2 linked regions of the Mus musculus genome follow. The protein of the gene in region 1 binds, or shares a complex with, the protein of each later gene. Links are inferred from orthologs where the notes say so. Each region holds a gene or a part of one and is shown in the gene's direction. Other genes may lie near its edges.

Region 1 (8,054 bases):
CTCTCTCTCTCTCTCTCCCTCCTCTCCCCCTCTCTCTCCCTCTGTCCCTCCTCTCTCCCTCTGTCCCTCCTCTCTCCCTCTGTCCCTCTGTCCCTCTGTCCCTCTGTCCCTCTCTCCCTCTGTCCCTCTCTCCCTCTCTTCCTCTCTCTCCCTCTCCCTCTCTCCCTCTCTCCCTCTGTCCCTCCTCTCTCCCTCTCCCCCTCTCTTCCTCTCTCCCTCTCCCTCTCTCCCTCTCTCTCTCTCTCTCTCTCTCTCTCTCTCTCTCTCTCTCCTCTCCCCCTCTGTCCCTCTGTCCCTCTCTCCCTCTGTCCCTCTCTCCCTCTGTCCCTCTGTCCCTCTCTCCCTCTCTCCATCTCCCTCTCAACTTGGAACTTGTGCTTTAAGGGGCTAGGCTGCAAATCAGCAAACCATTTGTCTCCATCCCTCTCAGTGCTGGCTTACACCTGTGCTGGGACAACAACTCAGCTTATTATGTGGGTGCTGGATTCGAACTCCAGCCCTGAAGCCTGAGCAACAAGCTCTCTGAATGGATGAGCCATACCTCCAGCCCTTCTGCATTACTTCTGACTTAAGGTATTTCATATTTGATTTCAGTCCAATCTCTTTGGGTACAGTGTGTTCTATTTGCTTTGCTACTTCTGGTTTTCCGAAATTTGGTTTCTAATTCTCTGATTATGTGGCTTCACTTCTAAGGGGGTTATTTATTTATTTTATGTATGTGAGTACACTGTAGCTGTACTGATGGTTGTGACCCATCATGTGGTTGCTGGGAAATTAAATTCAGGACCTCTGCTTGCTCCAGTCTAAATATTTATTTATTATTATAAACAAGTACACTGTAGCTGTCTTCAGACACTCCAGAAGAGGGCATCAGATCTCGTTATGGATGGTTGTGAGCCACCACGTGGTTGCTGGGATTTGAACTCAGGGTTTTCAGAAGAGCAGTCAGTGCTCTTGACCGCTGAGCCATCTCTCCAGCCACTTAATGTCTTTACTTTGCTACATACTACGGAAATATAAAGTCCATATCCCCAATAATCACTGTATTTCACCCTCATTTTAGACATTTCTAAATCCACTCCTGCTGTTCCTGCCTCCCTACTGGCACGACTTCTAATTTAAGTATTAAAATGTCTGAGTAGCTGAGGATATGGTTCAGTGATGCGGAATCTGTCTCGCAGTCTGGCAGAGATGGTTCAGTGGATAATTGCTACCTAATCCTGGAAACATGAGTTTGACCCCTGGAGCCCACAGGAAGGTAGAAGAAGAAAACAGAACCCACGAAGTTGTCCTCTGGCCTCCATGTATGCACCATAGCACGTGCATATCCATACACATACATCATATATGTACAATTATTATTATTGTACAATTCTTATTATACATTAAGTACAGTTACAACATTTTTTAAATTAATTTGCCTAGAAGGCATAAGGTACTGAATTTTATCTCTGGCATCAAAACAACAACAAAATCTTTCCTCAGAATTGATTTTGAAACCAAGTTGTCCGAGGTAAACCATATGAAAGGAACACACGGAACACACGGGGGAAAGAAGAAGGACCCTCCCTCTCCCCACTGAATTGTCATGTCTCTTGCTGTCAGAGACAAGAGTTTTGACCTAAATGTCTGAGGATTTCATTATACGAAAAGTGTACACAGCAAGTAAGCTATATTCAAGAGCTATGTCACTAACCTTGTGTGTGTGTGTGTGTGTGTGTGTGTGTGTGAAGTCTCTGCAAGTTACCTGAGCTGGCTGTGAGTTTATGATCTCCTACCTCAAGCTCTTGAGTAACTGGAAGTACATGCCTGTACTAATAGGCCTGGAATGACCCATGGTTTTGTCTTAGATGTTTCTTTCTTACATAGAAGCCTGCTAGTACAGTCATAGGCCATCTTAAATTCTCACATAGGTATGAAACCCCTTTCCATAAGGAAATGAATATAACTGAAGGGCTCTCTAACAGGCCCAAGTGTTGTAAGCATGGCACCTGCAGGTCTTGCCCTCTCCCCTTCCCTCTCCTTTACTAAGCCGTTAGGTTACATTCCTAAAGATAGCCACCAAGGTCCATTCCCTTATTTGGCTATTTCTTTATGCCTGACTAAAACACCAAGGTCCAGCAATCAAAATTCATTATTCAGCTACACTGGCTGATGTGTCCATTCGGGACTTAACAACTCATCCTGGCACAGATTTCCCCCTTTTTCCTTAAAAAGATCACTCCTGCAGAGACATCTACTGCTGTCTTTGCCTGATCCAGAGACAACCGCAACCCTACCCCTGCTTGTCCTCTCTGGGGTAATAAAATCACCTTTGTCTTGAGAAGTTGGTGCCCCTTCAATAGCCCATTTTTCTCTCAACTTTATAGATCAAGTGCTTTACCAACTAATGTCAAATTCCCCAAGACACTCCCCAGCTGCTGCTGGTAAAGCCATTAGGTGCAGCATTCCTCCCTGAGTGGCCACACTTGTTCCCCATTGCCTGTCCTTTCCCCTATGAATAAGCTAACTTTGACTCTAACTCATTATGATTATTTTTTTCAGCACAGTTTAAGAATCTGGGTTGCAGCCTGGCCGTGGTGGCACGTGCCTTTACTGAGTGTCTCCCAGCACTCAGAAGACAGAGACAGGAAGATCTCTGTGAGTTTGAGGCCAGCCTGGTCTACAGAATGAGTTTCAGGACAGCCAGAGCTACATGGAAAAACCCTGTCTCAAAAAATAAAAATAAAAAATAAAAAAGAAGGAAGGAAGGAGGGAAGGAAAGAAAGGGGAAGAGAGAAAGAGACAGGGAGAAAGGAAGAGAATGAATGAATGAATCTGGTCTGTACCTAAATAAGGGTCTCTGAAGCTGGGAAAGGAGTGTCGCAGGTTGCAGAGCTGGTGGTGTTGAGCTATGTTTCCTGCTGCTAGTGATGATCGTGAATAGGTGTTCAAGTGTTTCATGGAAGATTTTCCCTTGAAGCAGATGAATTTCTTAAAGGCCAAAAGTGATGTCTTTTCTGTCTCCCAGAGGAAAGACAGGATTGACTCTCGGCATCACTGTCATGTTCAAGCCATTAGGTGCGGCATGCTGTGGTGAACACCAGGACCAAAAGCAAGTTGGGGAAGAGTTTATTTGGCTTCCAATTCTACATTGTAGTCCATCACTGAGGGAAGTCAGGACAGGAACTCAAATGGGCAGGAACCTGGAGGCAGGAGCTGATGCTCATCCCATGGCTTGTCTTCCTTCTTATAGAACCCAGAACAGCAGCCTGGAGTTGTACCACCCACAGTGGGCTGGGCCCTTCCACATCAATCACTAATTTAAAATGCTCTACAGGTTTGCCTACAGCCCAATCTTACAGAGGCATTTTCTCAATTGGTCTTGCCTCCTCTCAAATGACTCTAGACTCTATCAAGTTGACATAAAATTAGCCAGCACAATAATCGTTCAATATTCTCATAGTATTTGGCTCTTGTAGATTCCTTATATGGTCCTGGGAATTCAAAGTCACACAACTACCCCTAACTGGGCTTATTAACATAGCAAAGTGTATTAAGGTTATCAGTATCTGGGAGGCTGCATATAGATGAAAAGAAGACGAAACCATACACAGACTAAGGTGCTAAGCAAGAAACAAATACTGTGGTTGAAGGAGTGGAAATTCTGGTGAGTCAGATGCAGTTTCACAAGGGACAATCATGTCCTAACCCCACAGGATCTTCTCTAGGGACCTTGGTAATGGAGTTCATTAGAATTCTCAAGAGTGGTGGCGAATGCCTCACAGACGTAAGCCTAAATGGATGCGTTCACAGTGTCCAGGACCACGTCCTCGGCATCGCACACGTGGTTGTGCGATGCCGCGACGCGTTACGTTACCGAATATGCCACAATTTATGATTAAAACGTACCACAGAGGACCCCCGAGAAACATCGCGTAGCCCAGGAACCAACTCACAAAGCACCACCAACCGCCCGCCCGGCTCCCCAAGCCTGGCGCGCCGGAGAGGTGGGGTTTCCGCTTCCGGAGGCGGATTGTTGACGCCCACTGCTGCTGTGGTGGCGAGCGAGCGAGCGGTTGGGGAGGGGCCGCCGAGGGCGGGCGACGGCGCCTTGACAGGCAGCGCGGAGGGGGCCTCCGGGGCGACGATGGCAGAGGGGCCCGAGGAAGCCCGGAGCCGCCCTCCGGAGCAGGATGGCAGTGGCGGGGACCACGAGCCGGTCCCTTCCGAGCCAGGCTCTCCCACCACCACCGTCGCCGCCACCGCCGCCGCCCCCCGGTCCCCGGCCCTCGCGAGCGTCGCCTCGGCAGTGTCGGAGCCCGAGCCGCAGTGCGAGCTCCGCAAGCGCCGGGAGACGGGCGCGGAGCCTCCGGAGGCGGGAGACTGCGAGGCGTCGGACGGCCCGGGGCGGCTGAGCGCGCGCGAGTACTCGCGGCAGGTGCACGAATGGCTGTGGCAGTCCTACTGCGGCTACCTGACCTGGCACAGCGGCCTGGCCGCCCTGCCCGCCTACTGCGGCCCGCCACCACCCGCCGCCACCGCCCCGCAGCCCGCCGTCCCCTCGCCGTCGTCCCCGCCGACGCCGTCGTCCCCGCCGCCACCGCCGCCGCCGCAGCTGGCGTACTACAACCCCTTCTACTTCCTGAGCGCTGCGGGGCCCGGGCCGGGGGCGGCCACGGGCGGCGCCACCCCGACGGCTGTCGCGGGCCTCACGGCCCGGGCCCCGCACGTGCAGCCATCGGCCCGGGCGGCCCCCGGGACCAGGGTGGGTTCTGCAGCCCCTGCGCGGACTGCCAGCGACACCGGGCGGCAGGCAGGTGAGATCGGGGTTGGCGCGGGGGTGGGGTGGGGGGTGTTGGGTAGGATGGAGGAGGGATAGAGTCGAGGTCCTTTTTAAAAAAAAAAAAAAAAAATCACTGCCATTCCTACCACTAACATTTTGGAAGGATCTCACCCTGTGGTGTAGGCTAACACAGTATGTAGGCCAGGCTAGCCTCAAACTTGGAATAAGACAGGTCTGTACTAGCCAGAGGGGTCTCTTGAAGGATCATTGAACAAGTATGCTCGCTCCTGAAAAAATATAACCGGGGAGCTGCTGCTACCATTGATAGTTCCCACATACATCAGCTATGGTTTGCCCAGGCCCTAAATTCTAAAAACGTACTGTGAAGCAATGTTGATTGTCCTTCCCTTAAGACCTGGCACGGCTAGTAGGTTCCCTTACTCCTGACACTAGCCCTTCTTGTGTGTAGAGACGTATGCTTATCAAACCATCCTCTCTGTAATCTTCAGGCTCTGGAAAGATCCAAAGCTAGCCTTGGGTGGCAAGCCCGCTGTTGGGAGGCTCGAGATTAGAATACTAGAAATCACCAAGACTTGGGCCGTGTAAAGACAGTGGAACTGAAAGGCGATTGACATGATTACAAAACGAGTCTAGAGAGCTTTGACTGGCCTCAAGCCTATTGGTCATGAATATCATCTAGTAAATGATGTGTAGTCACTGGTCTTAGCAAACCGTAGGAAAGTTTGCAGCCAGTCTTCTGAGTCTGGGGCTGGAATGCTGGGATTACAGGCATAGCTCACCATGTCCAGCTCATTATTAGATATTTTAGAAACAGGATCTCTTGATGGGATCATTGCCGTTGGCTGATGCAAAGCTATAATCTTAAAAAGTTTAGTTGGACCTTGACTTTACTTTGCCGCTTTCTTATCTGGCTTGGTTCTTAAACTTGTGTAACTCATTTTTTTTCTTCTTCTTCCCAATTTCCAGGTAGAGAGTATGTCATTCCATCCTTGGCCCACAGATTTATGGCAGAGATGGTGGATTTCTTTATTCTCTTCTTTATAAAAGCAACCATTGTCTTGAGCATCATGCATCTCAGTGGAATAAAGTAAGTTAAGAACAGTCAGAAAATTCTGGAGCTGTCATTTAGGGATCTTGTTTTGTAAATTCTGTACATGCTCATGAGTAACTCTGGGTAATGGATGGATGTCCAAGACCAAGACTTCTCTATGAAATCTTTACCAGTTCTATTTGTTTCCCTATTGGTTGTTTTTAAGTGTGTTTATATGTAACCAAGAGGTCTACTTTGGTTATCTTCTAATCTCTCCTATATTTTTTTGAGGTGGGATCTCTCACTTGACTTGGGGCTTGTCATCTCAGCTGGACCAGCTGGCCAGCAAGTCCCTAAGATCACTGGTCCTCCCTCTCAGTGCTACATAGGTATATAGGTGTCCTGGGCTTTAGATGGATTCTGGGGATGCACTCAGGTCCTGACATTTTATATAAACACTTTACCCACTGAGCTATCACCACAAGCCCCTTGGTTTTAAGAAAGAAACAAAGAACTTCAGTATGTTGTTTAAAATCTGAGGGAAAAGGAGGGAGGCTTTGGTGGCATGTTCCTTTAATTCCAGCACTCAGGAGGCAGAGGCAGGCAGATCTCCGTGAGTTCAAGGCCAGCCAGAGTTAAATCCTATCTCAAAAAAGATTTTAATAGGTTAAAGAAGCCTTCAGACCTGGCTTGTTTTTTTTATTAACCATTCTCTTGGGCCAGGAATGTGTTAGTTTCCTTCTTATTGGCCTATGAAGGCTCTGCCATGAAAGCACAGAGGGGCTGGGTCGGTGGTCAGGGGTTAAGAGTGCTCACTGCTTGTCCCGAGGCTCCAAGTTCAGTTTCCATGTCAGGCAGCTTATCACTGCCTCTAACTCCAGCTCCAGCCTCATGTATACACATGGCATACATTTGTATACACATACACACACACAATTTTCAGAGCACAAAGAGCTTGTGGTAGGTGGACTTAGTAATCAATTTCAGTGGGGTTGTTTTCAGTTGAGCAGATTCAATGCAAAGTATGGCATTTACTTGAGAAACTCAAGTTTTAGGATAATGCCTGCTCCCAATTGCTAAGCATTTTCTATGAGACACTTATTTACGTTTATGAGACGATGTCAGAATTGAAAAGAAGATAGAAAAGTCAAGATACAAAGTAGTGTTAACCTTGGGCCCCCGACAGGTGTTGGGTAGCTCCTGCCTGTCCCCTAACACAGCCTTTATTATTATTGTTTACATTTATTTATTTGGAGGGCAGAAAAAAGCTGCAGAACTTAACCTCTCCAGCCTTAACATGCTGCTGTAGTTTCTACCGACAAGATAAAGTCTGAATTTCATTACATGGTTTAACATGCCCACATTCTCCTCAGTCTCCTTACACCATGAAATTGAGCCCTATCACTTGTTCCAAGGCTTTCTCTCCTGCCTGGAGCTTCTTCCTGCTTCTTAGTCTGGCTGGCTTCTCTTCATTCTTTGTATTGTATTGTGCACTTAGAAATGTCATTTCTGAGAAGACTGGTCTGTTTTCTGTGGTGTTCTGGTTGGCATCCCAGTTTATTTTTGTTCTATTTCCCTTGCTTGGTTAGAATCTCTGTGAAAGCTGAGGAGATACTTTTAGTATCCCTTGCTGTGCCAGTGTGCCCTCTGATGCAGTGATAAATACCATGATCAAAAGCAACTTTGAAAGGAAAGAGTTTATTCCATTTTACAGCTTGTAGTCCATCACTGAAGGAAGTCAGGGCAGGAACCTGGAGACAGGAACTGATTCGGAAGCCATGGAAAAATGCTGCTCTTCATGGCTTACTCAGCCTGCTTTTGCTTTTCTTATAGCACCCAGGACCACCAGCGCAGGGGTGGCACCACTCACAGTGTGCTAGGCCCTTCCCACATCCATCATTAATCAAGAAAATGTCACATAGACTTGCTACAGGCCAATCTGATGGAGGCATTTTCTTAACTGAGGTTTCCCAATTAAGTTTGAGTTTACAAACCAGTCACTGCCCTATCATCAGGGCTGGCATCTTATTTGCTCTGCAGTGCTCTACCACTGAGGTACAAACTACCCCACAATCACAACCATGCTTTTGCTTTAATTTACTTAGGTATTTGTTATTTTTTTGAATAAAGTAATGGGTATTTTATGCACTTTGTTGGTGAGAACCTAATAGCATAGAATTTCACTTAAATTTTATGACCTAATTATGGGAAAATGGTACAAAACTGACTTAGGAGCTA
Region 2 (7,349 bases), on another chromosome or scaffold:
GGCTCTGACTAGTGTGTGCCCTTTCCATTGTAGCACATAGGTTAGATATTGTCTTTGAAGTTTAGTTTTTGTTTCTGTCAAATGGCATGTTGTTGTGGCACATACAGACACTTCCTAAAGTTCCTGGCATCTAGAAGCTGCTTAATAAGCACGAGACCTTACTGCTAATTGTTGATATTGGTATAAGGCTCCCACTGACACATTAACTGGGAGAAACAAGCAGCTGAATAAGGGCTGGTATGTGTGGGAGACCTGTGTGCATACATGTGTGAGTGTGTGTGTACACCTGTGTGTATGCATGCATGCATGTATGTGTGCATACATATATCTGTGTGTATGTGTGTCTGTACCTGTGTGTGTATATATGTTTTGTGCATGCATGTGTGCATGTATCTGTATGTGTGTGCACTTCTGTGTGCATGCATGTATCTGTGTGTGCATACATGACATTTGTGTGTGTGTGTGTGTGTGTATGCGCTAGTGCTGAGCAGTGGGCAACAGCTCTTTTCCAGTAGTTAACCAGTGGATCAAGTGGCTTTAGCACACTGGAAAGCAGCCCTGCCCTCCTTAGTGGTCAGTATTGCCTCCTCCTTCACTTCCTTCCCTAAAGTCACTTCCAACTTTGATTCAGCAAATGTTTATGGACCATGACCCCAGGATGTGGGTGAAGCAGGACGGAGTTAGCCTCCTCCTAGCAGAGTGATGGTTCTGACCACGTGCCTGCCTCTCCTCACCTTCTTCCTTAACGTTGTGGTACTTCTCCTGTTCAGGCTTGCAGCTGCTTTTCATGTGTGAGAATTAGCTTCATTGGTCACCTCTGAAAGGAAAGGTGCCAAGAGGCTGAGTCTTTTCCTGATATCAAAAATCACGATCCGTGTTCTTCCTCGATTGTGTTCTCTCTAATTTAGTGGCATCATCCTTCTGAAAAGCCACTCCTGTCTCATGCCACCTCCCCACACCTTTTTCACCAACTAGTCAGGTGACTCTGGCCTTAGGTTTAACCTGTCCTTAATGTGTCTTACCTTTCGGCAAGTCTAGATCTGTAGGAGGCACAGGGCACAGCATCAGTAAATCTCTCTATGCTAACTCTTTAGCACTGTCTCAGAAAGGTACTGATAAACCTTCTACAAACAGCCTTTATTATTTATTCAGCATTTAACATGTATTTTTGAATGTCTATAAGAGGACAAAAAACTACGTCTAAATATTTAAGAAGATAATATTATCTTTAAAATTATTATGCATAAATAAATATAAACTACATTCATGAAAAGGATAAGGCATTAAATGGACTTTTGCAGCTTTAAATTGTGTTCTTTGTTTCTAAGGCTAATGGACGATTTGAAGTAGGCAAGAAGATCTGTTTAAGCATCTCAGGACATCATCCTGAAACCTGGCAGCCTTCATGGAGCAGTGAGTATCAGCGAATACAAGTGCCAGTTACTAGTCAGTTTATAATAGTGAATTACAATACATTTTTGAGATTGACGATGTTTTTGGCTAATATGTGACACCACTGAGAAATTAACAAAAATACTTTTCATGTGTGGGCTTGTATATGACTTTAATAACCTGCTCTGAAACCCTTCAGATCTTTTCCAGAGCTAACCTAATTTCTCTTAAGGTTTTACTTTGTGTGTTTGTGCACCTTTGTGTGCAGATGTGTGTGAGACCAGCAGCTGTTATGGGGTGTCTTAATTCTCTTTATTTTTTGAGGCAAAGTCTCTAATTGAACCTGGAACTTGAACATTTTAAGACTTTGTGGCCAAGCAAGCCCTCCTGACTCTGTGTCCCTAGCATGGGTTGCAGTGTACACTGCTGTGTCTGCCTGTTTTCCTTTCTTATAACATACAGAAAGCATGAGAGTGTTCAAGACCAAGTGTGGGTCCCCGTGCTTGCTCTGCTCCTACCCAGCTCCGTCCACTGAATGGATGTTCACTTTCTGTTTCAGTAAGGACAGCCTTGCTGGCCATCATCGGGTTTATGCCGACTAAAGGAGAGGGGGCCATAGGTTCTCTAGATTACACACCCGAGGAGAGAAGAGCGCTTGCCAAAAAGTAAGTTCCTTGTTAGCGCCGAGTACTATCTGGTCAACAGTGTTAAGTCTCTTTCTCTGCTGTCACCTTGGCTAAGGATCCAGTCTTAGAATTGTAGAAATCCAGTTCTGCAGGTTTCCTTGGAGTGACCAGAATATAAAAATGGATCTCATGATTATTATTAAGGATTAGTCCCAGGGTTCCACCCCATGTGAGGCAGGTACTCTGAGCTGTATCACCAGCCCATCTCTCTCAGTCTTTTAAAAGCAGCTGATGGGCTGACCTGGGTTTGATTCCCAACACTCACATTGTAACTCTAGCCCCATAGGCTCCAACTAACTCCTCCTTCTGGTTTCTGCGGGTACAGGAACACATGAGATGCACAGACATACATACAGATAAAACATCCATACACATAAAAATAATAATAATTAAAAAAAGTGAAAAATTGTATAGAGATTTGTTTTCCTCCAGTTGGGAGCCATGTCTCCTGGAAAGCATTGCTGGCCCTTTGTCCCCTGTTAGCTGGCATCCAGGTAGGACAACCCAGAGCCATTACTTATATATAGCTGCCTGAAAGACCAATTCCTGGGCTCGTAAGTGAATCCACTCTATTTTTGTAGCCACTTATATAGCTTATAGCAGACATTAATAAATGATCTGGGATAAAAGAAAGGTTTTCCTTAAGTAGTGATGTAGTAATACTGCCTTTTCAGGGGGTTTTTCTTTTTGGTGTATTTTCATCTATAGATCATAATAATTCATTAAATTCAAAGTATCATTTCCGTTTGGTAGTACTGAGATAACGGAATCTGTTTTTTGAGACAGGGTCTCATGTGTAGCCCTGGCTGTCCCCTGTTTAGGCCTAGCTGGCCTCAAACTCACAAGTTCTGGAGTAAAGGTGTGTTAACACCTGGCTATAAACTCTATTTTTAATTGGCTTCTTTCCTATTTTACATGTTTCTGATAAGAGATAAAGGAAACTTTTCATAGACTTTGAATAGGCTCATGACCTGTATTCTTGAGGATAGTGTCATACAGTAATAAAGTTTACATAAATATGCTGTCACTGTAGGTCTGAAGCTTATCTTTCTTTAGGTAACTTATTTTTTAAAAATGGAGTCTAAGCTGTTTTTTCTTTTTTCTTTTTTTTTTTACACTCCAGATTTTATTCCCCTCCCGGTCCACCCTCCAGCTGTTCCACATCCCACACCTCCTCCTGCCTCCCTGTCTCCATGAGGATCCCTACCCCCACCCCCCACCTACCCCACCAGACCTCTAAACTCCCTGGGGCCTCCAGTCTCTTGCGGGTTAGGTGCATCTTCTCTGACTGAACGCAGATCCGCCATTCCTCGCTGTATATGTGTTGGGGGCCTCCTATCAGCTGGTGTATGCTGTCTGTTTGGTGGTCCAATGTTTGAGAGATCTCGGGGAATTCAGGTTAATTGAGACTGCTGGTCCTCCTACAGGGTCTCCCTCCTCCTCAGCTTCTTCCTGCTTTCCCCTAATTCAAGCACAGGGGTCAGCAGCTTCTGTCCATTGGTTGGGTGTGCAGATATCTGCATCTGACTCTTTCAGCTGCTTGTTGGGCCTTTCGGAGGGCAGTCATGATAGGTCCCTTTTTGTTATCACTCCATAGCCTCAGTAATAGTGTTAGGCCTTGAGACCTTCCCTTGAGCTGGATCCCACTTTGGGCCTGTCACTAGACCTTCTTTTTTTCAGGCTACTCTCCATTTCTATCCCTGTAATTCTATTAGACAGGAACAGTTATGGGTCAGAGTTGTGACTGTGGTATGGCAACCCCATCCCTCACTTGTCTTTCTGCTGGAGGTGGACTCTATAAGTTCCCACTCCCCACTGTAGGGCATTTCATCTAGGGTCCCTCCCTTTGAGTTCTGAGAGTCTCTCACCTCCCAGGTCTCTGGTGCATTCGGGAGGGACCCCCACTTCCTACCTTCCAAGGTTGCCTGTTTCCATTCTTTCTGCTGGCCCTAAGGGCTCAGTCCTTTTCCCTCACCTCAAAACTAATACTGCCTTAATTGTCTCACAGCCTATATATGAGTATACTATGACATCATTAAGTAGTCTTTTCTTTTAGTCATTTGGTATTTAAGTATCTTTTTTTTTTGAGACTTATTTTTGGTTTATATTTATGGGTGTCTTGTCTGCATATATGTGTATATTTCTGTGCATCGTGTGTGTGTGTGTGTGTGTGTGTGTGTGTGTGTGTGTGTGTGCAGTGCCTGTAAAGGTCCCAAAGGGCTCCCTTCACACTTAAACTACAGATGGTTGTTACCTGCTATGTGGGTTCTGGGAATTGGACACCATCTCTCTAATCCTTATTTGAGTATCTTCATAGAAGGGAATTAGTATTCCGCTGTTTGGTTTATGCTCATTGTACATTGTATCCTACCAGATCGCAAGATTTCTGTTGTGAAGGCTGTGGCTCTGCCATGAAGGATGTCCTGTTGCCATTAAAATCTGGAAGTGGTTCAAGCCAGGCTGACCAAGAAGCCAAAGAACTGGCCAGGCAGATTAGTTTTAAGGTACTGTAAATTCCTAAACAGATCCACTTAAGGAGCCTTTTGTGTTTACTGCTGAATTCTAGCAAAAAGGAAAGTCATGTGTTTCTAGTGAAATGAGATTTTCTGAGTAATGTTTTCTTACTACAAGACATAAGCGACACTGAGCAGAGCAGTTAAAACTAGACTGGCATATACGACTGCACTCGGAGTCAGCTTTGCAGCTCACTGGCTGTGTGCTCACGTGCCAGGCAGTACTTCACCACCACAGCCCTTACCCAGGTTCATCAGAGCCTGGACTTCCTTGTGGGAGTTTGTCAGGCTATGTTAGTTAACACGGATACCACATGTATTATAGCTGCATTTAGATCTATCCCTAGTACTTTCTAAATTCTAGTTCTTTTTAAACAAAGTAACCTCACCTCCAAGATGTTACTGCTGTTAACATTTTGGCAGTTTCCCCTTTCTCCTCTTTTTCTGCATATTTTACCCAAACATAAAATTTATATACTATTCTAATACTTTGAGTATTCACACTCATGTTTCTGTATTCCATTGAACCTGTGTGCTGCTGTCTCCTCTTCTTTCCGTTTCTGCCCTCTGCCTGTTTCTAGGTCCCGTTCTTGGGAGTTTTCCCTTTAGTTTTAGCGTAGTCCCTGGAGGAGGAAGTATAAATCCTGATGCTGCTCCTTCCTTTCCAGGACTCCTATTGTACTTAGATCTTTCCTCTGGAGACCTTAGGCTCAGATGTGTTTAGAATGTCATGATGTTTCAGATGTGAGGAACACATGCAGCTTATGCTGACAGTTACAGTAAATCTGGTCAGCCTGGGACTGTTGGCTATTGCTACAGTCCAGCTAGCCTGACGAGCCTAAACGTTGTCCAAGCTTTAGTTTGTGGAGGTTCTTAGAATTGCAGGTTGGGAATCATTGGCGTTGTTCCATAGTAGGTAGCAGCTCCCTCAGGATGCAGTGTCCAGTGGAGCAGATGCAAACATGCACGGAGCTTAACTGAGAGTGGACAGGAAAGGAGCAATACAAATGGATTCAGGAGAGGGAGTTAGCTGATTGTTAACACAGTTCTTATAACACTGCTCTTGGGTGTATCTTATTTATAGGCCGAAGTCAATTCATCTGGAAAGACTATCGCTGAATCAGACTTAAACCAGTGTTTCTCACTAAATGACTCACAAGACGATTTACCTACAACATTCCAGGGTGCTACAGCAAGCACATCGGTATGGCTCTTATCTTTTAATACACACCACACACACACACACACACACACACACACACCACAACCACATACACATGTATGTGTGCACACACACCACATACTACATACACACCACACTTCACAACCACACATACACACACCACAACCACATACACATGTATGTGAGCACACACACCACTTACTACACACACATCACACTTCACAAACACACACACACACACATATACACACTTTTTTGGATTAAGATAAGATCATAGATCAAATATTGAAAATTATGTTTTTCTTAGTAGTAGGATTTTAGCCCAGCTGCCCCATTAATTACATTATTTTGAACAAATCTTTTGGACTTCAGTTTTTTTGATTTTTGTTGTTGTTGTTATGTGGGGTTAGACAAAATAGTTTCTAGGTTCTGTTTTTATTTCAGAATGCTGTGACTTCTTTTAAAGTCAGTGCTAACATTGTGCTAGCCTAGATAAAACATGCATATTAATAACTCTAATAGATACTAGGCACTGGCGAGAATTCCCTGAGCCACAGTCTTGTGTTGCTTAGATAGGCCTAGTAGTCTAGTGACACATGCTCTCTAAGTGTACATTCAGTCCGGGTTTAGTGAAGTCAGCAGTGTTGCCCCTCAGGCACACTGACTGTCCTGAGCACCCTGCAGTATGCATGCAGCCGGCCGGCAGCTCTGTGGAGAAGCATAGACACAGAGATTAAACTCTGTGCACACAGCCCTGTTGAACTGCTGCCGGTGTGGAGTCAGTGGCCGGGAATTGTTAGATGACAGAGTGAGTGTCTGAGGATAGCTCTGCTCTGACCAATCGCTTCAAAAAGTGGGTCAGCACAGGAAATGGGAGAGACCGATCACAAATAGTACTGGATTGGTGCTAACTAGAGAGGATTGTGAGGGGAAATGACTTAACAAGACGATCTTACTGTTTTGGAGTCCGTTTTGTTATAGCTTATTTGACTGGGAAACCACATCTTCTATCTCCCGCTCTGCTTCATAGAAGATGTTTATTGATTTAGTGAGGGAGTTGTGCACTTGCTACTATGTAAGTGCAGAGCGCAGAGGACAGCTTGCAGGTATCAACTCTCCATCCTGTGGGACGTGGCACTGAACTTAGGGCATCAGGCTTGGCAGCAAGCACCTTTATGCAACTAATCCACTTCACTGGCCTTATAGGACTTCAAAAGTCAGAAAACTGAAAAAGAAAATGTATCTACTATAAAGTGGGACTAAATAGCTTTGAGTTGCTTTCTTTCAGGGAGTAAGATAGATACATCAATATTCTTTAAATCTACCTTGTTACATATTCCAGTTATTTTAGTGATCATTTATTTTGTCATTAATTGTCTATGACTTTGTGCTTTTATAGAGTAAGTGGTCTAGGAAACTACCTGATGATAACTTGTGTTTACCAGTCTTACCAGTTTCCTGGGCCCACCCAGCGACTGAGATTCTAAAAAGCATTCCAGGATGGCCCAGTGGGTAAAGGCATTTGCCACACCAGTCTGACACCCTGAGTTCAGTCCTTGGAACCCATGTAAAGGT

The links.
Region 2: Fam8a1 (region 1) and Ube2j1 share a complex: the UniProt entries of both Homo sapiens proteins name them as parts of the HRD1 complex. The link is inferred for Mus musculus from reciprocal best matches to the Homo sapiens genes FAM8A1 and UBE2J1.

The regions. Positions count from the first base shown.
Region 1 is NC_000079.6:46,665,457-46,673,510, forward strand, and holds the start of Fam8a1 (protein FAM8A1), read left to right. Parts: upstream 1-4,020; 5' UTR 4,021-4,129; coding exon 4,130-4,799; intron 4,800-5,752; coding exon 5,753-5,873; intron 5,874-8,054. UniProt on the Homo sapiens protein: Plays a role in the assembly of the HRD1 complex, a complex involved in the ubiquitin-proteasome-dependent process of ER-associated degradation (ERAD).
Region 2 is NC_000070.6:33,039,405-33,046,753, forward strand, and holds part of Ube2j1 (ubiquitin-conjugating enzyme E2 J1), read left to right. Parts: intron 1-1,328; coding exon 1,329-1,413; intron 1,414-1,951; coding exon 1,952-2,057; intron 2,058-4,452; coding exon 4,453-4,582; intron 4,583-5,675; coding exon 5,676-5,795; intron 5,796-7,349. UniProt on the Homo sapiens protein: Catalyzes the covalent attachment of ubiquitin to other proteins. Functions in the selective degradation of misfolded membrane proteins from the endoplasmic reticulum (ERAD) and is essential for cells to recover from ER stress.